Linked DNA regions of Lonchura striata. The protein of the gene in region 1 binds, or shares a complex with, the protein of each later gene. Links are inferred from orthologs where the notes say so. Each region holds a gene or a part of one and is shown in the gene's direction. Other genes may lie near its edges. The genes, in order: GLE1 and NUP42.

The links.
Region 2: the proteins of GLE1 (region 1) and NUP42 are in contact, whole or in part, in a crystal structure (PDB 6B4I), measured with the Homo sapiens proteins. The link is inferred for Lonchura striata from reciprocal best matches to the Homo sapiens genes GLE1 and NUP42. Residues at the interface, in NP_001003722.1 of Homo sapiens: Ile385, Ile593, Leu598, Asn599, Trp602, Arg603, Ala606, Gln607, Leu609, Asn610, Gln636, Tyr637, Gln638, Val639, Gln640, Lys643, Met644, Ile646, Leu647, Glu650, Asp651, Tyr652; in NP_001357375.1 of Homo sapiens: Asp185, Asn186, Val187, Leu188, Phe189, Gln202, Phe203, Gln204, Ser205, Lys206, Lys207, Phe208, Leu210, Gly211, Lys212, Ile213, Pro214, Leu215, Lys216, Pro217, Pro218, Leu222, Leu223, Asn224, Val225.

What each region holds. Positions count from the first base shown.
Region 1 is NC_134624.1:448,621-459,932, reverse strand, and holds the start of GLE1 (mRNA export factor GLE1), read left to right. Parts: upstream 1-5,621; 5' UTR 5,622-5,675; coding exon 5,676-5,771; intron 5,772-6,041; coding exon 6,042-6,293; intron 6,294-6,832; coding exon 6,833-6,952; intron 6,953-7,115; coding exon 7,116-7,264; intron 7,265-7,585; coding exon 7,586-7,646; intron 7,647-7,924; coding exon 7,925-8,179; intron 8,180-8,902; coding exon 8,903-9,131; intron 9,132-9,255; coding exon 9,256-9,371; intron 9,372-9,560; coding exon 9,561-9,630; intron 9,631-9,955; coding exon 9,956-10,098; intron 10,099-10,920; coding exon 10,921-11,111; intron 11,112-11,312. Other genes in the region: ODF2 (outer dense fiber protein 2), read left to right, coding at 61-171, 350-454, 1,008-1,166, 2,036-2,136, 2,671-2,833, 3,160-3,285, 3,987-4,160. UniProt on the Homo sapiens protein: Required for the export of mRNAs containing poly(A) tails from the nucleus into the cytoplasm. May be involved in the terminal step of the mRNA transport through the nuclear pore complex (NPC).
Region 2 is NC_134603.1:125,079,183-125,090,913, reverse strand, and holds the start of NUP42 (nucleoporin NUP42), read left to right. Parts: upstream 1-6,554; 5' UTR 6,555-6,594; coding exon 6,595-6,685; intron 6,686-7,908; coding exon 7,909-8,158; intron 8,159-8,828; coding exon 8,829-8,923; intron 8,924-9,272; coding exon 9,273-9,349; intron 9,350-11,225; coding exon 11,226-11,312; intron 11,313-11,731.

The sequences.
Region 1 (11,312 bases):
AGAGAGCTCACATGGCAGGTACTTCCAAGCACTCAATGGAGAGTGTTTTCTTTTTTTCAGGCTGCTCTGATTTCAACGGAGGACAAGCTGAACCAAGCACAGATGGAATTGCAACATCTTCAGAACTCTGTCAGGAGCTACGAAGGGTTGATTGAAAACTACATGGCACAGGTGGGTCTCAGAACCTTCAGCCCTTGCACAAAGATGTTTTCTCCTTCCACTGTGGCTTATTCTGTAATGCCTTAGCTATTGCCAACTGGGGCAGTTTCAATTACTTTAAGGCATTGCAAACATGTGTTGAAAACTATTTATAACAGATGAAGTCTGGGGTCTTTTTTTGAATGTCCAGGCACAGATGGCGCAAAAGGAAGCGGATGAGATGGCAGAAAGACTGGAGAAGTGTGAAAAAGAGAACCAGTCAATAAAGGATGACATGAACAAGGCGATTGAAGAGGTAACTATTCCTCTAAAGACATGTTATAGAAAAAGACATGTTATATTCATGGGTCTTAGCATTCTGAATCTAGTGAAAAACAGCTGTGAATAGGAAATAAAAGGCTTATCTTGATTCTGCCTTTTGCATCAGTTTTTTCTCAGAACTTGTTCAATAAGTTTTGCAGAAAGAACATTTAGCAGCTTCTTTGTGACTATATGGCATTCTTCAGATATGTAGAAATTATTTTGTGTGTCCTTTGCTGCAGAATTAATGGTTTTGAACAATAGATTAGGTAGGTTACACCATTAGCTGATGTGGAACAGCTGACCTCAGAAGCAGAGCATGTACTTCTAGTAAGATTGAAGCCCACAATCCAATATACTCATTCTTACACCATCCATAGGGAATTCCAGATCCTAAGTGAAAAATTTTAGGAGCAGGAAAAGACATTAGGCATTGAACTCCAGCACTATCCAAATATCCACACAAAGCTTCATTGAAGTTGAGAAATGTTTTAGTCTTGATCTTACAAACATTTGAAAGTGCCTCACTTTCTCTTCTTTGATTACAGACTCGTGCGACGTTCCAGCAGCAGCTTTCTGAACTGGAAAAGCTGCCTGAGATCCTGAAGTACACTGAGACACAGCTGGCAGAGTGCCATGAGCAGCTCATGTGTTATGAGAAGAAGAACACGGACCTGTGTGCCATGATTGCAGATCTCCGTCAGCTGGTAAGGGACTGGCAGAAAGTACCTGTACCAGTGCAAACCTCAACTGAGAAAGGAGAATGAATTTCTAATCACAGCAAGGTTCAAACTTCATCTCTGTTCTCATCTCTTTCTGAAAATATTAAACGTGCACTGCAAAATAAAGGTGTGTGCCATGTCTTTGTGCAAGAAGTTAGTGGCTTTGCTGGTAACATTCCTTAATATTTGAAAGGTTTCTCATCCCTTGGTGCAGAATCTTTCTGGGACTTGTTAGCAGCCATGGCAGCGCTTGCTAATGCCAGCCCTTGTTTCTGTTTCCTCATCCTCTTGTCAGCTTTCCCTCCTGTAGTTTTCTGGTGATGGTGCTGGCCCAGCCATTTTCTCACTCCCGTTTCAGGTTGCTTTCCCGGTTTCTGTTTTTGGGTCCCAGAAAGGCTGTGAAGGTATTGCAGGACAATTTCAGACAGGGATGACATCTACAGCTGTGCCTCACGACAGCACATGATCTCTGTCTGACCACTTTAGTCTGCTTGGTTTGGAATGATAAACCTCCCTGGTGTTTCAGGTTCTGATGCTGTTGTGGGCTGCTGGCATGTTTGTGGCTGCTGTTGTTGTGTACTTGGCTTGTAGCTGCTGCTCTACATGCAGGAATTTATGGGCCTGGCTTTTCTTTTGCAGTACAGATGACTTTTCCTACACCTTCCCAGACTGTAACTGGGAGCATCAGCAAAATAGATGTTTAGTTCTTTTCTATCCATGGTTCCCTTTCTGAAGCTCTCCAGAAGTTATGAATGGAACATATTTCCTTCTGAGACCTGCATATGTTTTTGGTGGCTGGACATGTGTGTGTGTAGTGACTACTCTGTGAAATAATTAATTCCTGTAATTTTTAGATTGACCTCCAGGGGGACAAAATGGAGATGACAAGAGAGAGATATCAGTCTGCCCAAGAGGAGAAAAAGCAACTCACCTTGAAGGTGGAGGAGCTAGAAAGGTTAGAAATACTGGGCTCTCTTGCCTTTTTAACCTTCCATTTTTATTGTTTTTACAGGGGATTGAAACAGCTTCAGTCTTGTTCCAGTTCCCCACATGCCTCCAGGATTCTGTGCATTTGCTTATCCCACAAGGTTCTCTAATCAATAGCTGTCCACTGATGATTATATGCTTTTGCAGCAGCACGTGTTATGAATGTTGTTAGACAGAATGATGGCTTAGACAGCAAAGAAACCAGCTCCTTGTCCAATCTAGCCTGGCAATTCTGAGGTTACTTGATATTACATTATTTTAACTTATGTTTATACATTTGTTTCAGTGACAGTGTCTCAGAAAATGCAGGTAGATGGATACTCTGTAGGTCCTTCAATATTTGAAATTCTGATTTGACAACTGGAGAACTATTTCCTGGGGCTCTCACCTTTCAAGCAGGAATAGGATCTATTACCAGAGGAGTCAGGACCTGACAAAAGGCAGAATGAAACACACTCCATTTAAAATGAATAGGTTTCCTTCCCTTATTGTCTTAAACTAGAAAACTAGAGTCCACGAGTGCCCAGAACATAGAATTCCTTCAGGTCATAGCAAAACGTGAGGAGTCAATCCACCAGTGTCAGCTGCGGCTGGAGGAGAAGAGCCGTGAGTGCAGCTCCCTGGCACGTCAGCTGGAGATGGCCATTGAGGATGCCAAAAGACAAGTGAGTAATTCCTCATGTTTTTGAATTCACCCAAAGCTACCCAGGCTGTGAAAGAGGAACAGTGAGAATCATGAAAATATCTTCTCAGCTTATGACCAAACCCATTAAAATCATCATGTTCAGTGAAATATAAGTAATGTGCTGGTTCTATTTGTCAGCACTGTTGAAGAACTGAACTCGGTTTGTAACAGAGAAAAGCACAACACTGAGCTGCTGCTTATATATGAGAATGTCAGTTAAATTTTAAGGGGCTTTTGTGGGCAATGGGTAGGGGAAAAAACATTCTTCCACAGACACCTCTTTAACAGAGTTGTTGTTCTGTGTAGGTGGAGCAAGCTCGAGAACGAGCAGTCTCCAGAGAGAAGGCAGCCCAGTCCAAGGTGCTGGATTTGGAGACACAGCTGAGCAGGAATAAAACAGAGCTGAACCAGTTGCATCGGAGCAAAGAGGATGTGAGTGGCTTGTGGAGGATACTCTTGCTGTCCTTGTGGTGCCTTGGCAACAGTTGGATTCCATAAATCATCCTGTGGATATGCTGCTGAGGTCATGCAGAGGTGTGCCTGAATGTGATGTGCTGTTGTGTGTGTCCATGTATGTGTGATGAAGGACATGTCTGCTGTCATCAATTCAGGATTGTGTGGTGATAGGCCAGTCAGAGTACAATGAATGAATGAACCTGGTGTAAAGTTATGTGTGTGTAAGAAAAGAATCAGACTTTCCTTGTGTTCAAAGTAGATTTGCACCAGGTATCATGGACAGATTTCAACTTCATTTCCCCTATCTCAGAGAGAGATGAAAGGATTTCTTTCCTGTCCTATTACCTTGCTTCTTTGCTTTAGTTTTACTTGGAATTGTGTTAGCTGATGGATCAGGTCAAGTTGCTTTTCAGAAAAGGGTGTGTTTCATTCCCGGTAACTACCGCTAATACATTTTAAAAGCCCAACTGATAAGCCACATTGTCTCCTGCTTTTATCAGCGGGTTGCTGAATGGAGTTGGGAACGAGCAGAAATTATAAATATCACAGCACCATCTATGGTAATGTCATCTCCTGCTGTGCTAATTCTGGCTCTCCTCGGCACTTTGGGGGAAGAGTTTAACAGGAGCAGGATGAATGTTGCTGCCTTTCAGCCTGTTTTGTGCTCCCCCGTGCAGGCAGAGCGCCGATACGAAAGCCGCCTCCAGGACCTGCGGGATCGGCTGGAGCAGTCGGAGAGCACCAACCGCAGCATGCAGAACTACGTCCAGTTCCTCAAGTCTTCCTACGACAACGTTTTTAGGGAAAGTGTTTTTCTGGGCTCCCCCAGCCACACTCGCTCTCTTCTCTGACAGCAATGCTTTCCTTGCACCTTTTTTAAGCACACAGAAGGAGCTTTGTTTAAAAAGCCATATTGGTTTAGAAAACTGGATGACATTTCAGAGTCACTGTTGGGAGATTTTTTTAATTGTAAAATGAGAAAATAAAATTATGTTGGCATCTGATCAAAATGTGGGGTATCAGCAATACTGGTTTGGTGCTGGGGGTTAGTGTTACACCATAAACTGAGCTCCAAAACCGTGTGGTTTTGCATATAATGGAAAAGATCCTTTTCCTCCTGTCAGGTCATGATGGTTTCAGCTTTTAAAACCTGCCAGAGGTTTGTTGAGTGTGTTAATTTTTGTAAGAACTCTCTTTGTGCTTCACTTCTCATTCAGTTTCTCTGTTGGAGAGATTACGTGGGGTTTTTAAAAAAAATTTTTATACTATTGGTGTGATGCTGAAAATAACTGAGGTGCCTAGGCTCTACACTCATGAGAGATAATCTCCTGCACAACCACAGTGTTTGTAACAATTTTATACCAGAAATTATGAGTTTGGTTTGGTTTTTTATATTTGATTCTTATATCCTCCCTGATCCTTACCTTTTCTTGTGAGTGTGATGCTGATGTTGCTTTACTCCTCTTACCCCGATTTTCTGATCCTGAGTATACCCACCCAGGATTAAGCCAAAACAATCTAAATTTTAAAGAAGTCATCATCACTTCATTTGAGATCTTGGTGCAAATGCCACGTGAGTTCTGGGGATGTGTGAAATCCTGACTTTGCCTTTAGCCAACTTAGGAGCTGGAGATATTCAACTTCTTCATCAAATTCCTCTACACCTTCTGGAAAATCAGATCTTTTGTATTTCAAGTCTTTAAAGTCCATATGCTCTCTAGTGTCCTACTGTTTCTACTAAATGGTTCTTAGGGGGACAAAAATAAACCTTGTTTTTATTTTTCTCTCTTTTTTATACTATTTATATGCTATGTGATGTGGTCACTGGCAATATTTGTCATGGAAGTTTTCTAAACTAAACAGTTTTCGAGAGATCTGTAATTGTTTGTGTTTAACACTTTAGAAATCCCAGAAGTGCTGGGAGTGAAACCAATAAAGGAATACATTTTAATTGGTTATGGTGGGGATTTCCTCTTTAGTAGATGCGTGTGAATTTGAAGAAGCAAACACATCCCGGGGCTGTTGGTGCAACTGAATTCCAACCTATTTCTGTGGCTCACGGCTGGAGCCTTCCCTCTGCTTCTGCGACAGGGGCTAAGCAGCACAAGGCGGCTCCGGGGAGCACGCACAGAATTAATGGGAAATGGGTGAAACCGCGGCCGTTTCCCGGCCCGCGAGCGCGCCGCTGCCGGGGGCGGGACTCGAACCCGCGGCGCCGGGCCGGGCCGCGCCTCTCCGGCAGGGGGCAGCCACCGCCCCTCCCGCCGGCGCGAGGCGAGCGCGGCCCGGAAGGGGCGGGGCGGGGCCGGGCCGGCCCTGAGGGAGCGCGGGGCCGGAGGGATTCCCTGGGCCGCTGCTGCAGCGCCATGGAGTCCTGGCAGCTCCGCTTCGACACCCTGGAGGCCCTGCGCCTCTCCAGCAAGGGCCGGCTGAGCTACTGCAGCCACTGGCAGGAGGATGAGGTGAGTGCGCTGGGAAACACCGAAAGCTCGTCTCGGTGACACTCAGGGCTTGAAACACCCCCAGACCGGGTCCAGGCTCGGCAGCGCGGGGTCAGGGAGCGGGGCTGGTCCAGGGGGGTTCGGATGTCCTGCGGAAGTAGGATAGTCCGGAAAAAGTGTTGGAAAGACAGCGGAAAAAATGGGTTAAATGGGATACTGAGCTGCGATGGTAAAGCAGCTACTAACTGTGCGGATGTGCTCGTGGTGTGTTAAAGTTTTATTGAAATTCAGGCTGTGCCGCACTCACGGAGAATGTTTTCTCTCAAGGCGGCCTTGGACGGATGCGTGGCTCCCGTGGAGCTCTCCCCGTACTGCGGCTGGGTGCTGGACAGCCTCAGTGGGCAGGCAGCGCAGGAAGCCTCACCCTCCTCCACGCCCGAACAATCCACTCCGCTCCCAAAACGGGCATCAGCCGAGAAAATCCCGCCTGGCAGCCACCGGAGCTCTTCACCACCCTCATCTACAGAGCCCAGTGAGACCAAGGTAGCTTTCTGCTTATAATTCACATGTTTATGGAACAGCTGTGATAAAAAACCCCAAAAAGTCCTAGCTTACTGTCATAAATTGTCAGTTTAAGGCTGGCTTGTGCTCTGTAAATTTATGGAGAAAACATCCTTAGTTTAAATTATTTTAGTATGAACAGCTGATGATAAAATCAGTATTAACAAGACTTTCGTAGAAAAAAATGTTTCACAGTAGACCCAAAGCAAGCTCCATTGTTCACCATAGCTGAGGAAAATAGTTGGAGCTCTGTTGTGTTATGGATTAGCAGCACAGGATTTGTCCATTTGGAGAGATAAGGTCACAGAGGAGGGTCAGGGCTGTTGTAAAAGTCCATGAGTAACCACACTGGGTTCTCTGTAGTTTTGAGAGATATACCTGTATTCTGACTCTGTTTTATGAGGCAGAAGGGTAGGAAGCTGGGCAAATAATAATTTAGGAGACTTGCTTTTTCTGTTTTCCTCCATGAGTTTCTGATCCCGTTCTAAGTTGCTAATTTTGCTTTTATGCTGACCATGCAGGAAAATGATCATCTTAGTCTCCTCAGTCAAGAAGTTGTTCCAGCAGTTCTGTCATCTAAAGTTGCAAAAGTTGAAGGCTGCATTCGGATGTATGAAGAGATGCACAGGCTGAAAGCAAAGGTAAGAAAAAATGATTGAGGGGCTGCCTGTGAATCCCAGGAGAGCTCCACAGTCAGAGGTAACAGTGCAAGGACAGCAAGTTATAAATGTTGGGCAGTTTAGTTTGTGTTTTCTTCTGTCCATATTGTTCAGTGACTACCTTTGGTGCCCCTGTGTGATGCAGGAGAGGCTGAGACAGCGGCAGGAGGAGCAGGAGCAGATGGTGAGGGCAGCCTATGCCCAGGCCAGCGAGCAGCTGAAGCGCTTTGATGAACTGAGGGAACTGAAGCGGCATCAGGAATTCCAAGAGTTGCAAGAAGTAATGGAGAAGAGGTGAGATTACCTCTGGTATCACTAGAATTTCATAGCATTTAATCAAAGTGCAGATTAATTTCTGTTCCTGACAATTCTATGCTGGTTACTTGTGGTTGGAAATTTCACCTGCTCTTTGTCTTACATTAACTGTCCTGTTACAATTTAGCTGTCCCAGTAGATATCTGGCTATTGTTGAGGTTTCAGTGGTTAGGAAAAGACAACATTTGTGATAGCTAAAGTTCCTTTAGCTTGTTTTAAGAATAACTTCCTGTGTGTTGGTTTGTGTTTTGTCTCCTGAATGTCTTGAATACCATTTTTCTGTCTTTATGTGTGTTGTAGCTCAAAGGAGGCTCAGGGGCAGCAAGAGAAGTTGAAGGAAGAACACCGACATAGAGCAAAGGTGTGAGACTCTTAAGAATTGTCTTTCATAAAAGACCATGACTACTGGGTGGGAACTGGAAAGACCAATTGATTTATTTGTATTTTCATGACACTCTGAAATAAGGATGGCTTTTCTGGTGCTGTCCTGGGCACTGCTGCAGTGTGGAAATGCAGCAAAGGCACTTTGTGTCCTAGGAACAGGAAGGCCCTGTAAAGCTGGAGCCATCAGACTGGGAAGGAACTGTACAACTAGAGTTATTGAGGTATTTTTTGACTCTTGTGTCTTTGTCTCCCCAGATATTGAACCTGAAATTGCGTGAGGCAGAGCAGCAGAGGCAGCGCCAGGAAGAGCTGGAACGTTTGCGCAAGGAAGAGGGCCAGGAGCGACTGCGTCGCCTTTATTCCATCCAGGAGGAGCTGCTGCAGCTGAACCAGCAGATTGATCCCAACTACAGGCACAAAGACTTGCCCAGAATTGATCTGTCTGCATACAGCAATCGTGGCAACCAGATCTGTGGACTGGTGTCAGGGCTCATCCGCACCACGAGCGAGGTACAGGCTCCGGATTTGTTAACTTGGGCCCTGTAGTTGTCTTCAAAGGCAGCTTGTCATGAAGCCCTCAAATAAGATAGCACAGCAATGATTTTAGATATTCATCCTATAAAGCATCCCATTTCAAAGGGGAATTTTTTCCCCTGGCACTTCAGCTGTTCTCATGAAAATGGCTTATCAAAATGCATGAGAACTTCTACACAGGAAAGATTCAAATTAAATTGCTGAAAACTCTTGGTGCTGTAAGGTTCCCTCTGTGACAGTGGACTGGTTAATGAATTGTTAAATACTGAACATCTTACGAATCTCCTCTCCTCATAAGCTTTTCTGCAGTAGCTGGCTTTCCTTGACATTTTTTCTTTCTAGGATGGGATACAAGTCTTGAAAGGTAAAGCACTAATAAGGCTAATCCTGTGTTCCAGTTTGTCACAGCTGGCTTTCCGCATAGGGAGCTGTCAAAGCTTTGCACTGGAGTTGTCTTGCACTTGTACAAGTGTACTCTTGATTTTTGTTGTCCCAGGATCTTAGGAGATTTAGTCATGGATTTGGATTATTTACAAATACTATAACCAATGTTATGTACAAATAAAGGAGATGGGGATAAAATACATAGTTAGCTTCCAGATTATCTGAAGTGCTTCAAAGGCTCCTTGCACTGGCAGCTGGCCCTCTGACACTGGAAGCAAAGGTTAAGGCTGTGTTACCTCTCATGTTTCTTGGCAGAAAGGGTTCCCAACTCAAGCAGATGTGGCCAGCACTGAACGAGCCCTGCAGGAGATGCGAGGGTTGATATCCAGCATGCAGCAGGAAATCACTGCAGCTCTAGAAGAAAAGAAGAGGAAAGACGAAGAGGAAAAGAAACAAAAGCAGAAAGAGTTAGAGAAAAAAGAGCAGATGAACAGTCAGACTCCTGCCCCTGCACAGCAGTCAGGGGAAAAGCAGCAGAAGGAAGGTTGGTTAGGCTTTCTTAAAAAACTTTTTTATTCCTTTGACTTACAATTTTTTTAAAATGAGTTTTCTCACTAGAGGTTTAGGTCTTTCTTATCTTTTTTTTTTTTTTTTTTTTTTAATTGCAGGACTTAAGGTTAAAACAGAAGAAAGTATCATGCAGTGGTACCAGCAGCTTCAGGATGCTGCTGAGCAATGTGTTGCTGCTTTCAGTGAAATTGGAAACTGCAAAAGCAACACTGAGGTATGAACAAATTATTAATACTGTTGAAGAGAAATTATCTTAATTTCTAGGGTAAACAGGATACTTTACATTTAAAATAAAAAAAACAAACTCTATTGTAGAAGCCGCTGTTACCACTCTTCTCATCCAAACTTTTATAGATATATACCTGTTAGGAAAAGATTTTAAAGTTGTTTGTTTGTTCTCCAGGTGAAGAAGATAAAAACCAACTTGCAGAAAGCAGCAACAATCCCTGTGAGCCAGATCTCTAGTATATCAGGTCAGGAAAACACCAAGAGCTCAATCCCACTGAAATTCCTTTTGCTTTAAAGTTTTTATGAGGGCACAAGCATATAAAGTGTTCCTGTAGCAGAAAGCTGATCTGCATACAGCCTATCTGTGCATGCGGGTTTGCTTTTGTTTTGAAGGCCTGTTTCTTCACTCAAAAGCGTATTTCTTCATCAGGATTAAGTTTGGTTAAATAGATGGAGCAAAGGTGCCCTTTGGGTTGTGGGTCTGGTGTTGGTGAGCTTGATGGGGTCTGGGTAAGCCTTGTCTGCTGTTCCCTTATCTTCTGTCTCCATACATTCCTTATGTATTTGCAGGCTCTAAGCTGAGAGAGGTGTTTGACAAGATCAATAACCTGCTGTCTGGGAAGCCTGTTCAGACTGAAGGGCAAACGGTGTCCGTGACTCAGCATCCACAGGGGCTGGAGTTTGTTTGCTACAAACTTGCAGAGAAGTTTGTGGTGAGGAAATCTCTTGTTTTGGGGTGGCACAGGCAGCCAGTGCTCTAGGAGATGCTTTTGGGCACTGAATTATCAGCTATGAAGAACAAAATCATTGGGTGTTCAGTTTGCCTGTATGAATGCAGTGAAAAAACTTAGTTTCTCTTTAATTTCCAACCCTTGTTTTATTTCTTCTGGGAGGAAAAATTCTTTTAAATTTCAGGCTTATGTCCTATATATTTTGAACTAGGTAAGTGCAGTGTTGTGGAAAATACTTTGATAGTTAATTTATGGTATATGACAAAACTGTATATAGGCCCAAACTTTGTATTTTGGCAGAATTTGGGTGACAAAAACCCCAACATAGAATATTAAAGAGGCAAACTTCAGTCCCTGCTTTCTTGTTAGCACCTCTCAAGAAATGAAGTTTGTTTTTCGAAGTTGGCAGTATTTTTCTCTTGTCTTTATTTGCAAAATTTGGGCTCTTTGAAACTTTTCTTCCTGCAGGAACAAATGCATGCAAAAATCAGCATATGGAGTAAAACTGTGACTAATTTGTGAACATTTGAAAGTGATTCTTTGGGTTGAGAATATCTGTGCAGCCTGCATTTTTAAGCCTGTGTTTGCTAATCCCATATTTCTATCCTGAGCTACAGTTTATTGTCATCCTCTGTGGGAGCTGAGGATATGTGGCTTCATCAGCTTTTCTATCCTTGGTTCATAGCCATGGAAACGTTCAGATTCTTTAGTAAAGGCTAACTACAAAAATGAGGATTTTTTTTTTTTTTTGCCTGAGAAATTAGTTGAAGGAGTGGTGGCTGACTTTCCTTTTCTACCCTCCAGAAACATGGGGAAGGAGAAGTATCTTTTCACCATGATTCAGCTTTCCCAATTGCTGTGGTGCTCTCAGGAATCTGGGAATTACACCCTCGAGTCGGAGACATCTTTTTAGCTCATCTGCACAAAAAGTGCCCGTATTCTGTGCCGTTTTACCCTGCTTGGAAAGAAGGGACTTCTATGGAAGAGTATCAGAGGTAAATTTACTACTGGATTTATTCTGCATGAACCCTGCAAGGGTGAAGATTGTTTTGAGAGAACTCCACTTTCCCCCATCCCTAAGCACATAGGCATTGACTCTGGAGGTTCACTCACAAGTGTGTAAAAACCATCTTGTTCCAACCTCCTGCCATGGCAGGGACACCTTCCTCTAGACCAGGTTGCTCAGAGCCCCATCC
Region 2 (11,731 bases), on another chromosome or scaffold:
CTGCCTGAAGGGCTACGGGATGGGCCATGGGGCCGTGGGACACCAGTCCGGGCACCTGAGCTGCCCGGAGCAGCGTGCAGCAGCCGCGCGTTGTTTCCATTCTCACCGGCTTCAGCAGCTCTGGAAGGCGAGGGATTAAACGGAGAGCCGAAGGCTGCGGTTGCCTGTCTATTCCTGCTCAAAGAGCCGGCGTTTCCCAATTCATCTGGGGAATTTGCACCTCTGGAGTTCTTTAATGAATCCTTCGTGTCTCCGAGTGTAGCTGTTTCAGGACAAGACAATGTACCAAGGCCCATGGCTTTTTAACTATGGAGGGTGGTTAGAAGTATTAATCGGTTTTCTTGGAAGTTTTTGATTTTTCCTGTCCTTGCAGGCTTTTCAGATGTCTTCTTTCAGAAGAACTGAATCTGGAGTACTATGACAGCAAAGAGTAAAACTAGAAAATGTGTAAGCAGTTTAAAAATGATGACTCATGGGGACAATCTTTGGGATAAGACTTGTTACCAATCTTCAGGTGGCAACTCTTGACTTATCTCCCAACTCCAGGAGATTATCAGAATGCCAAAATATTTTTCAATTCCTGTGCACCAAAGAGAATGCCAAAATAGCAGCAGGTCCACATGGTCTACGCTACCATCATCTTTTTGCCTGAGGTCTCTCTCAGAATATCAGATCTGATATTGCTCTTCATGTAAAGACATAAAAATTTGATATAAGGGCAACAGTAAGAGTATTTAAAGGAATCTTGTATTAATATCAAGAAATTAATCTTTTCACCTCGAAATAGAAGGAAAGCAAAATTCCTCTGTTGGATTTGTGAAGTTTCTTCTCTAATTCTAAATATTTTTCTTTGGTTCAGTTGACAGACAAATTTTATTTTTTGTTTTAATTTTTTTTAAGTCTTCCCCAATAATAAAAATATGCATTTTTCTTCTCTCTCTTTTCAGATAGATGCTGTTGAACTGTAACCACAACAGTGGGAAAACTGGCTGATTCAGTGGAAAGCTTTAAATGCATCAACAAAAGCATCTTTGGTAAGTGTTCACAAATGGCAACATGTCTCTGTGCCTGATGTTACTTTTTAATGGAGTAATTTACATAGATATTAATTATGGTTACAAAGACTTCTGAGATTTGGCAATTGTGATGTGCCACCTGGGCATATTCTATGGACTCCTGAAATCAGTTAATTCCAGATGCTATTACAAACCCCTTCAGTTAACTGAGGATAAACATGCATAGGGATGGTTCCATGTTAGCAAGGCAGCAGCTGGATCCCAGCTTTGGAATACTCTCATTGCAAGCCACGTGAAAACAACCAGAGCTGAAGTTTGGGATCTGGTTGTGTACATGACTAGGAAGAGGCCCATCCCCACCACACCATTTTTCCCATGTGCTGATGTTGACTCTACCAAGAGAGGATCAGCAGACTGGACCAGAATTCTCCTCCAGGACACCTTAGGATAAATGGAGCATGTGGACAATTGAGAGGTGGATGGGAGAGAATCCCTTTGGATAACATTTGAGGATAGAAAGAGTCATTGGTCCTGGGAAGGTGACAAACACTTGTGAATGGAGATAGTTTTTCAGAAGCAAATGCTTGAATTTCAAGCCCATATGAAAAATTGAGGGAGGCAGAGGAAACGTCTCTCTTTGAGTGCAGTCTGCATGAAGTGCAGGGAAGGTTGAGTAATGTGATCCCAGCCCTTGGTGTGTTCAGAGCCAGAGGTGGACAAGCAGGATTTGGGCTTTACCACAGGAGACAGTAACAGACAAAGATGTGCTGAGGACAGGAGCAGAGTGAGTCAAAGCTGTGCCCTAAATACAGTCACAGAGCACAGGCTAGAACTGAGGTAAGAGGTGAGAATGAGAGCTCCCAGAGGGGATCAGGTCATTGACTGACAGGCAAAAATTGATCAGTTGTAACAGATTTGCATTTCTGGAGGGTTTTACGGAGAAGGGCAGGTATGGCCTTAGAGCACTTAAAGCACTGCAAAAACAGGCAGTTGTGAGGAATGATCACTGTCCAGCATGGTCTGAGTTGGATTCAGTGGGACTGGGCAGTTCTGACTTAGTTTCAAAGAGTTACTGAGAGAGAGTTCCCTGTTTTGGAATCTAGTTTTCATGTATGTCTCTGGAATTTTTTCAGCTCTCTGCTTTCAAGACCATGGGCACTCAAGCAGCACCTGCCTTTGGAATGGAGGGACATCCAACCTCAGGCTTTGGGCTGTCAAATAAGTTCTCGTTCTAAGAGCCAAACCATTTACACGTTTTCTGTAGTTTGCTGCTGCATCCTTGAAATGCAGCATTTGTTTAGAATCCTTGGGCTAACAATTCTAATATTTTTTGTAAATTCTCTACTCGCAGGCTTTCCTGTGAGCAGCAGCAGCACCAGTGCCAGCAGTTTCTCCTTTAAAACCAGTTCCAGCCTCATCAGTTCAGCATCATCTGGGAGCAGCCCTACTGCTGATGGGAGGTCTGCTGCTGCTGCAAATCCTCCTGCATTTGGGACAACATCCTCTCCTAGTGCACCCCAATCCGTTGGCTTTGGCAGCTCGGCTGCTCCCTCCACAGTCTCCTTCTCCTTTAAAGCAGCTGCCACGGCTGGTGGCTTTGGGACTTCTGGCTTTTCAGGCTTTGGCAGTGCTCCTGCTGGGAACTCTGCAAGCACCACTCCAGCAGCCTTTGGGGCCTTTGGTGCCACCGTCCCCACTTCTGCGTCACCTTCGAGCGGTGCTTTATTTGGCCAGAGCACCGGTGCCTCCGGACATCCTGTCACCTCAGCGTCTGCTGCAGCCACCACCTCCAGCCCTGCCTCAGAGAAGTTATTCACACCCAAGAGCGAGCTGTCAGCTGAAGAGTGGCAACAGTTTGAAGCAAAGGAGTTCACAATTGGAAAGATTCCTCTTAAGCCGCCACCATTAGAACTTTTAAATGCTTTCAACCTTTTAAGTTTATTCTGAAATGTTAATTTTTATTACCTCTCTCAATTCTCTTTGCAGAAATAAATGTACAAGTCTAAACTTTTGAACATTATTTTGGGATGGACTTCTTACATCTGAAAGATGAACTGTTGAAACTAAAATGGAACATTTCATTCTATATGCTGTCCTGTGAAATTCTGTACAAAGACTCTATGAAAAATATGGTGTCAAAAGAAAGAATGTTTCAGTCAGGTATTTAGAACCTACTCTTGTATCAATGAATTGTCTCAAAATGTACGCTCTGTGGGTGTAGGATTGGCCATGAAAGCTTTTTTCCCCATTGCCCCAACAACTGGTATTGTAAATTTATTGGTGAGCCCTTACTGATAGTTGTTACTGAATGTGTGCCTTTGCTGTCTATAAAAAATCTGTTGTTTTATTCCCCAGCTTTACTGAAACTAGCTGATATGTGAGGGATGCCTCCCTAATTTTCTCCAGTCTCCTTCAGTCATTATCACAATCCTCCAATATCTGAATGATTTCATCTTTAAGTTGACCCTTCCTGTCCAGAAATGGCACATGGATTCAGGTCAAAAGGAGGGGCCATTTCAGACCCCACAACTCCTTCCTATCCTTTTGCCCTTTCTAATGCCATTCTCTTTTAATTCACATTAAAAAGGGGTTCAATATAGTCTGCATATCCCACCAACTGGGGTTATGAGTCAGCATGATAGTTTCCAAAAGCTGATTCCTTCAGGATTCTCTCATTATGAACCAACAGATAATTTCCAATTCAAAAAATCAAAAGTAGTACAAGGAACTTGTCCAGAAAAAAATGGCTGATGCTCTGCCCCCACTGCTTCTCTGTGCTCTATATTTTGAGTTGTATCCTCTTTGTCCATCTCCACTCTGCTCTTATATGGGTGTGGAAAGAAGGGAACTAACATTTGCTCATAAAACCTCATCCCCTTTTTCAACATCCACTGTAAAATAATATTAGACTGCAATGACACATTTACCCTATACTCCAATTTAAAAGTGGCCACCAGTGATGACAGTATCTCTTCTTTATTTTTAGTCACTGGATCTCCTCTAAACACATTCCCGTTTTTGGGGATGCATCCCAGACAGCTGTGAGGAGGAATTGTGGATTGGCAGGCTCTTGTCATTAAATTTAATGGACTTCAAGTTAGGCAATTCTTTTACCCTTAGGTCCAGACCTTCAGTAGTTACATGACTCCAGTCCACCTGATTGGTTACACTGATAAACATACACCATTTGAAAGAGGAACACTAGTGCACCTACCAATCCAAGAATCCTATTCCCCTTTTTGGACTTACTTGAGTCTCTCTGCGGCATTGCACCTTTTTGTTGCTCACCACCTTGATCCCGGAGAGGATTTGATGGAGTCAGTACATGCTGCAGACTTGTCGCATCCAATTCTCTGTTGCCAGTGGAAGCAAGATGGCCAGTCAAGGCTTTTGGCCATGCTGCCTGCATACCTAGAACTCTCAAATATGGATTCTACTGGGTGCAAGAAGCAGATTTGCACACAGAGTAGAGTTTTAGAATATCCTGACTAGGAATGGACCCACATGGATCATTGAAGTCCAACTCCTGGCCTTGCACAAGACCATCCCCAAGAGGCACACCATGTGCCTGAACTCTGTCAGGTTGGTGCTGTGATGATTTCCCTGAGGTGCTTTCTCCAGCACCCAGCCTCTGGATGCAGAATCTTTTTCTAATACCCAACCTAAACCTCCTCTTACACATCTTTAGGCCATTCCCTCAGGTCCTGTCACTGGTCAATGATGAGAAGAAATCAGTGCTTTTCCATCTATTCCTGAGGAGTTGTAGATTGCAACTCAGTCTCATCTTCTCTAGACTGAACAGACTAAGTGCCCTCATCTGCTCCTAATACAGCTTCCCCTCAAGGCTCTTCTTGATCTTCGTTGCCCTCGTTTGGATGCTCTCTACCAGCTTTATATCCTTCTTATACTGAGGTGCTCAAAACTGCCCCCAGGACTTGAGATGAAGCCACCCCAGTACAGAGCCAAGCAGGACAATCCCTCCCTTGCCTGGCTGGTGATGCTGTGCCTTGTGCACAGAGATCTTTGTTACGTGGCTGTTCATGTGGGTAGAGAATCCCTAAATGTAGCACCACCTCTGTGTGCCAGCCAGCCATTTTTATACACTTTAAACAGCAACAGCTCAACATCTCCAAGCTATACTGTACCTACAGTGAGAGGACTAGAGAAAATGGCCTTAACCTGAGACAGGGGTGATTCAGATTACATATTGGAAGAAACTTTTTCACTGTTAGGGTGGTCAGGCATGGGAATAGGTTTCCCAGGGAGGTGGTGGAATCACTGTTACAATATGTGGTACAATTTTCCTAAGAAAGGATGTTGTTTAATGCTTGATCTTTATCTATTTTCAAGCCTAATGAACAAGAAGGGAGATTTAATCCCTGAAATAGATAGCAGCTGGCATGCTGTAAATGATGCTCATATGGTAGAAAAACAAACTACTTGTAGACAGAATTGCCTTGTTAGGGTTCAGGGCTGGACATACTTCACTGATCTCAGACCTGGGTGAGGTTAACAAAGCTTGGGAAGAAGGATGTATCACTGATTGTGGACACCAAGAATGCAGAATTTACATGCCACAAGAATATTTGTCAGAATCCCCAAGATAAGGAAGAAAATAATAAAAACAACTCAGCAACTGTGCCTGATCTCAGACCTGGGTGAGGTTAACAAAGCTTGGGAAGAAGGATGTATCGCTGATTGTGGACACCAATAATACAGAATTTCCACGCCACAAGAATATTTTTCAGAATCCCCAAGATAAGGAAGAAAATAATAAAAACAACTCAGCAACTGTGCTGACACCAGATCTGACTGGGTAAAAGATAATTCCAGCAGGGGGATCTGCAACCACCAGCTCATGGACCACCAACCCAAGAAACCCATGGGCCCACAAGGAGAGAGACTGAGAATGTGGACTAATTGGCATGAGAACTGAGAGAATAATTAACTAATAGAAGCTAGAATATGAATTAGTAAGAGAGCTATGTAACTTGTAGGCAAGGAATGCTAATTCCTTTGTTTGCTAAAATGTATAAATAGCAAAAGGTTTTGATAGCCGGTGTGCTTGATTTGTGGAATGCCATCTAGCACTGGGCTTGTGCAACTGAAATAGAGAGTCTTTCAAATGTGTAATTATTGGTATATCATTGGGTAATGAATGCAATTTTTGCAAACATCACCATCCCTGGGGGTATTAAGAGGCACCTGGATCTGCTGGGTGATGTGGTTTAGTGGATTACAGTGACAGGGATAGGTTGGACTGGATGATTCTAAAGGTCTCTTCCGCCCCTGATGATTCTGTAGGCACGGGCTATACATCCCTTAGTCTCCCCGTAAGGACACAGCACAGGAACGCTTTACCGCGCGGGCTGCGGGGAGAAGAGCCTCTGTGCGAGAGGGGCGGCTGTTTTACAGCGTCCGTGGCTGCCGCTTTGCGCAGCACGACCCAAACCCGAGCTTGGCTTTACCGGCGCCCGTTGCTGCGCCACCCCCGGGCGCCCGTGCCGGGCTATCCCCGCCTCCCTGCGGGCCGGCCCCGCCCGCGCACGGCCGCGCGTCAGAGGAGCGCCGGGCGGCCATGGGCGTCTGCCAGTTCTTCCTGCGGGGCTGCTGCCGCTTCGGGGAGCGCTGCTGGAACCAGCACCCCCGCGGGCCGCCCCCCGCGCACGGTACCGCCGCGCCGGCCGGCAGGGCGGCCCGGCCCTGGGCCGCCGCCGGAGCGCAGCGCGCCGGGCGCGCTCGGCCGCGCTGTCTGACCGGGCCGCTGCGGGCTGGGGGTGTTTAGGCTGAGGAAAAGGAGGCTTGGGGGCGGCTTATCGCTCTCTGCAAGTGTCTGAACGGGGGCTGTAGCCGGGGGGAGGGAGGTCGGGCTCTTCTGCCAGGCAACCAGGCCTTAAGCTGCACCACGGGAGGTTCGGGTTGGGCGTTCACACAAAGAGACACGAAATATTGGAATGGACTGCCCAGGGAGGTGGTGGAGTTGCTGTTCCTGGAGGTGGTTAAGGAAAGACTGCATGCCGTGGTCTAGTTGACAAGGTGCTGTTTGGTCATAGGTTGAACTCGATGGTCTCAGAGCTCTTTTCCAACTTAACTGATCTTGTGATTCTGTGACCGCGGGATGTGCCGCAAGGCAGTGGGAAAACAGCTTGGAAAACTCTGTTCTTATGAGCAGTGAGCAAGTTTCCAGCAGCTGTATGTTCACCCAGTGACGGCTGTTTCCATTCTCGTCTGCTCTGGGTGTGTGGGGGCTTTGGGAAGGAAAGGGGCATGCATGACAGAGAGCTGGGGGCTGCAGTGATGGCACGGCACGAACTCACTGCAGCCACTTGTCCTTATTCCTGCTGGAAGGAGGGTCGGGGTTTGCCTGTAACAACACGCACAGGTGTGTCCGGGGTCTCAAAATGAAACTCGGGAGCTCCCTGTGCTGGAGCAGAGCCCCTGTTGTAGCTATGGAGACAGGAGCCCCTAACATAAACTTATGGTGTGTTCAATTTAATTTTTTTCTGCTGGGGTAGCTACTTCATCAAACAACCTAAGCAAAACTGAGTCAGTGTCTTTCTGCAGTGCCACAAGTTGTTGGCACGATGAGGTAGCTGAAGGCATCTCTGCTCATTAAGGCACAGGGGAGATTGAACTAGATGACTTTTAATGGTGCCTTCCAACCCAAACTGTTCCATTTGAGAAGTAGGACTTGAGAACTACCCTGGGCAACTCAGTAGTTAAGCTGACTTAATAATGAGTTTTTATTAGGAAAAAACTACACTTTAATTTCAAACTTTTTATTGTCACTGTAAGACTAGTTATACTTCCAGTTTTTGTTGATGTTGATTCATATCTTAATGATTAAAATGTTAAAATGTTTGCTTTTTTGTTTGTTTGTTTTAATTGGAAGTTTCTAGTGGAAGAGGAGGAGGATGGGGTACCTCTAACCAGAGATACAGTAATGTTATCCAGCCATCTTCGTTCAAGTCGGATACGTGGGGTGGCAGCAGAGATCATGGAAGAGGATTCTTTGGTTCCTCTGACTTTGGATCGTCAGGCGGCAGCAGCAGAAACGCAGACTTTTCACAGAACAGGTTCTCTGCCTTAGCCAACAGTCAAAGTGTTGCTGATGGCTCTAAAGATGAAGAGGAGAGACTTATGTAAGTTACAGTCCTCTCTTACTGGAAGCATTTAGAATGAGCAGATTGAAAGCTTACTGACTATCTAGAGATAATGCAGGGGACAGGATTGTGAGGAGAAAGCTGGGACACGGGAAGAAGCAGAGAAGACTTGGTTCTCTGGAATGATGCTGGCATGGGGAGGAAGTGATCTTTGTTTGGGACCTGGGTTGGGCAGATAGGCAACTGTGATATTAGTAAGATGGTATTAAAGTTGTGATCAGGAGGATAAGGAAGGAAACAGATTTCAGTGCTTAATAATAAGAAATCCCTTAATAATAAGAGCCCTTTAAGAAATTGAATTATTTTACTTGTTGTTTTGTCACTTAAGACAACGAATCTTTCTGCCAACAGCAAAACTATTGGTTTCACAGAGGTGTATGTTACAGTCAGTTACAAGTGGCCAGAACCTGCAGGGCAGATACTGAAAAGCTGCAGTGTGATTTCCTAAAGAAGCAAGGTTTTAGAAATATTATCTATTACTCTTTTTAAGATTACATTAAGAAAACACTTGGTTTTCATGATAGCAGGTTTTTGACTCTGAATTTAAATTCAAACCAATTGTTTGAATTGGTTGTTACTGGCATTTTTGATTTGACCATGCAATTTCATGTGATTTTTCACAATTTCATCTGTGATTTTGTTTTGTTAGTGAATGTGTAGTGAAAGACATGGAAATATGGGAATCTTCTGGACAATGGATATTTTCATGTTACTCACCAATGAAAGAAAAACCAAATGTCTCAGGTAGGTAATGTTTTCAGTGCTGTGTATTGCTGCTGTTTAGGATGTTTCTGTGACTTGCCATATTGTTGTACCTCTGAGCAACCATTTACAAGGTGATGATTTGCCTTGTGATACAACAGAAAGTAATACTAGTTGATGGCAGATTCAGCTTGGACATTCACACCTCTGTTACTCTGTAATGAATCTTCTTTTTGTCTGTAACTCTCTTTTTTTAACTTTTTAAACTTTTTTTAACTGTAACTGTCTTAAGAGAGACCATGTATCGAGGTCCATGTCTTCATAAGAGTTGAGGGCAGCTGGAGGAATCAATCTGTTTTCTTGGAGGTTTTTGACTATTCCTGTCTGGCAGGCTTTTCAGATGTCTCACCAGAAGAGCTGCGTCTGGAGTATTATGACAGCAGAGCAAACAATATAATTGGGAATTATGTAAGTATTTTAAAAATGTTGGCTGGTGTGGACACTCTTGGGGCAAGACTTGTTACTGTTCTTCAGGTGGCAACTCTTGATTGATTTACCTCCCAACTCTAGAAAATTATCAGAATGCCAAAATATTTTTCAATTCCTGTGCATCAAAGTGAATGCAAAAATAGCTGCTAGACATTCCTTGACTTAATCTTGTCCCTGCTCCTGTGTGTTATTTGTAGAAGTTACTTGAGTCCTGTCTCAGAAGTTTAATACCTTATACACTATTAGTCAGTTTGATTGTTATAGGTGGTTATTTGGTGCTTTAAATAGAAATTGGCCTTGTTCTTTTACATACCTTTGTTGTAGGGAATTAATGATGAAAATAGCAAATACTACTTTTCTAGAGACAGATATGTATATACTCATTTGGAAGTAAGACATATGTTTTTATATAAAACATCTCTCAGTGTGTATATATATCATTCCTTCCTTGAAGTCCTGTCAATACCAAGAAGCTAACAGAGTTTAGTGTTGTGCCAGGAAAGAAATTAGGCTGTTGGATAGATGCAAGTACAAATTAATTCAAACTACATTGCACTCTTTCCTCTTCTTGGTTCTGTGTTACAGAAGGAATTGCTCTTGTCACCACTCTTGCTTCATATGTTCAGATTTACCAGAATTGCATTTTTAGAGATGGGAGACACATAATATTTTTTTAAACTTCAATTAAAATAATAAACCAAAATAATAATAAATAATACACAATATGCTCTACATGGCTATTTAAATAAATAAATAAGTTGTGATCTTATCAAAGCATGAAATGCAAGCTTTCCTAACTCTCACTGTTGGTAACTGTATGATACAGTACATGATGGTAACTGTATGATACAGTTCTCTTACGAGATGTTTAAGTACAGCTTGTCTTTTCCATGTTTCTATTCTTAAACCGGGTCAAAATCTGAATTTTCCAGTTTGTTGGATAGGAGCAGATACCAAGCAACATGATCTTCCAGCATGTGATTAGACACAAAAGAATTATTGATGTTTGTGATGCAAGATTCTTTTGAAAAATTAAGGAATTTGTCTACAAAAAGATTAATCATTCAATTTTTGCAGGCATTTGTGACACTTGGTGTTTTACTTGTTTAAGTTTTAGGGAAAATTCAATTAGGCCAGACATCAAATGTGTTGCTTAACTTAAGTATAAATGTAGGAAATTCAGGTTTGAAATTCCTGAAAGGTTGTTTGAAGACTTTTTTAGGATTTTGCTTAATACAAAATCACAGTTATCAAGACACAGATACTATTCATTGCTGCACTGTTCTGTGCAGTTATAAATTAATCACATTTAAGAGGGTTGATTTAAATTAAGGAAGTTAATTACATCAATAGTAACTATTTTAGGATAATACAATTGAATTGTTATGAATTACAGTGTTTTGAAAGTGGGTATTTTTTCTGAAAATGTGGAAGAAGCTAAGGTAAATCTTAGGACTTCAGCTTAGTGAGTGAGTGCATAAGTGGAAAGGCCAGATTGAAGAGTCTGTTCTCATACATTTAAAACTTATATATCTTGTTTTGTGTAATTTTTTCCTCAAGCATCTAATTCAGAAAAAAATAGAATTTGGATTTTAAAAGACCCAGAAGTTGTTTGAATGTTACTCTGAGGTAAAGGGGTTGATTTAAGGACAATAGTCAGAGAGTTTAAAGGAATTTTCTGTTAAAAACAAAGACATCAGTGCCTCACGTTGAAGTTTCAGGAAAGAAAATATCTTATTGGGTTGATGAAATTTCTTTTCTAATTCAAAATATTTTTTTCAATTCAGTTGCCAGATGACATATTTGTATTTAATTCTTCAGTAATAAAAACATGGGTTTTTTTACCCCTTTTCAGATAGATGCTGTCCAAAAGTTAGCATTACAATGGAAAAATCGGCTACTTCAGTTGAAAGCTTTAAATGCATCAACAAAAGCATCTTTGGTAAGTGTTCACAAATGGCAACATGTCTCTGTGCCTGATGTTACTTTTTAATGGAGTAATTTACATAGATATTAATTATGGTTACAAAGACTTCTGAGATGTGGCAATTTTGATGTGCCACCTGGGCATATTCTATGGACTCCTGAAATCAGTTAATTCCAGGTGCTATTACAAACCCCTTCAGTTAACTGAGGATAAACATGCATAGGGATGGTTCCATGTTAGCAAGGCAGCAGCTGGATCCCAGCTTTGGAATACTCTCATTGCAGGCCACGTGAAAACAACCAGAGCTGAAGTTTGGGATCTGGTTGTGTACATGACTAGGAAGAGGCCCATCCCCACCACACCATTTTTCCCATGTGCTGATGTTGACTCTACCAAGAGAGGATCAGCAGACTGGACCAGAATTCTCCTCCAGG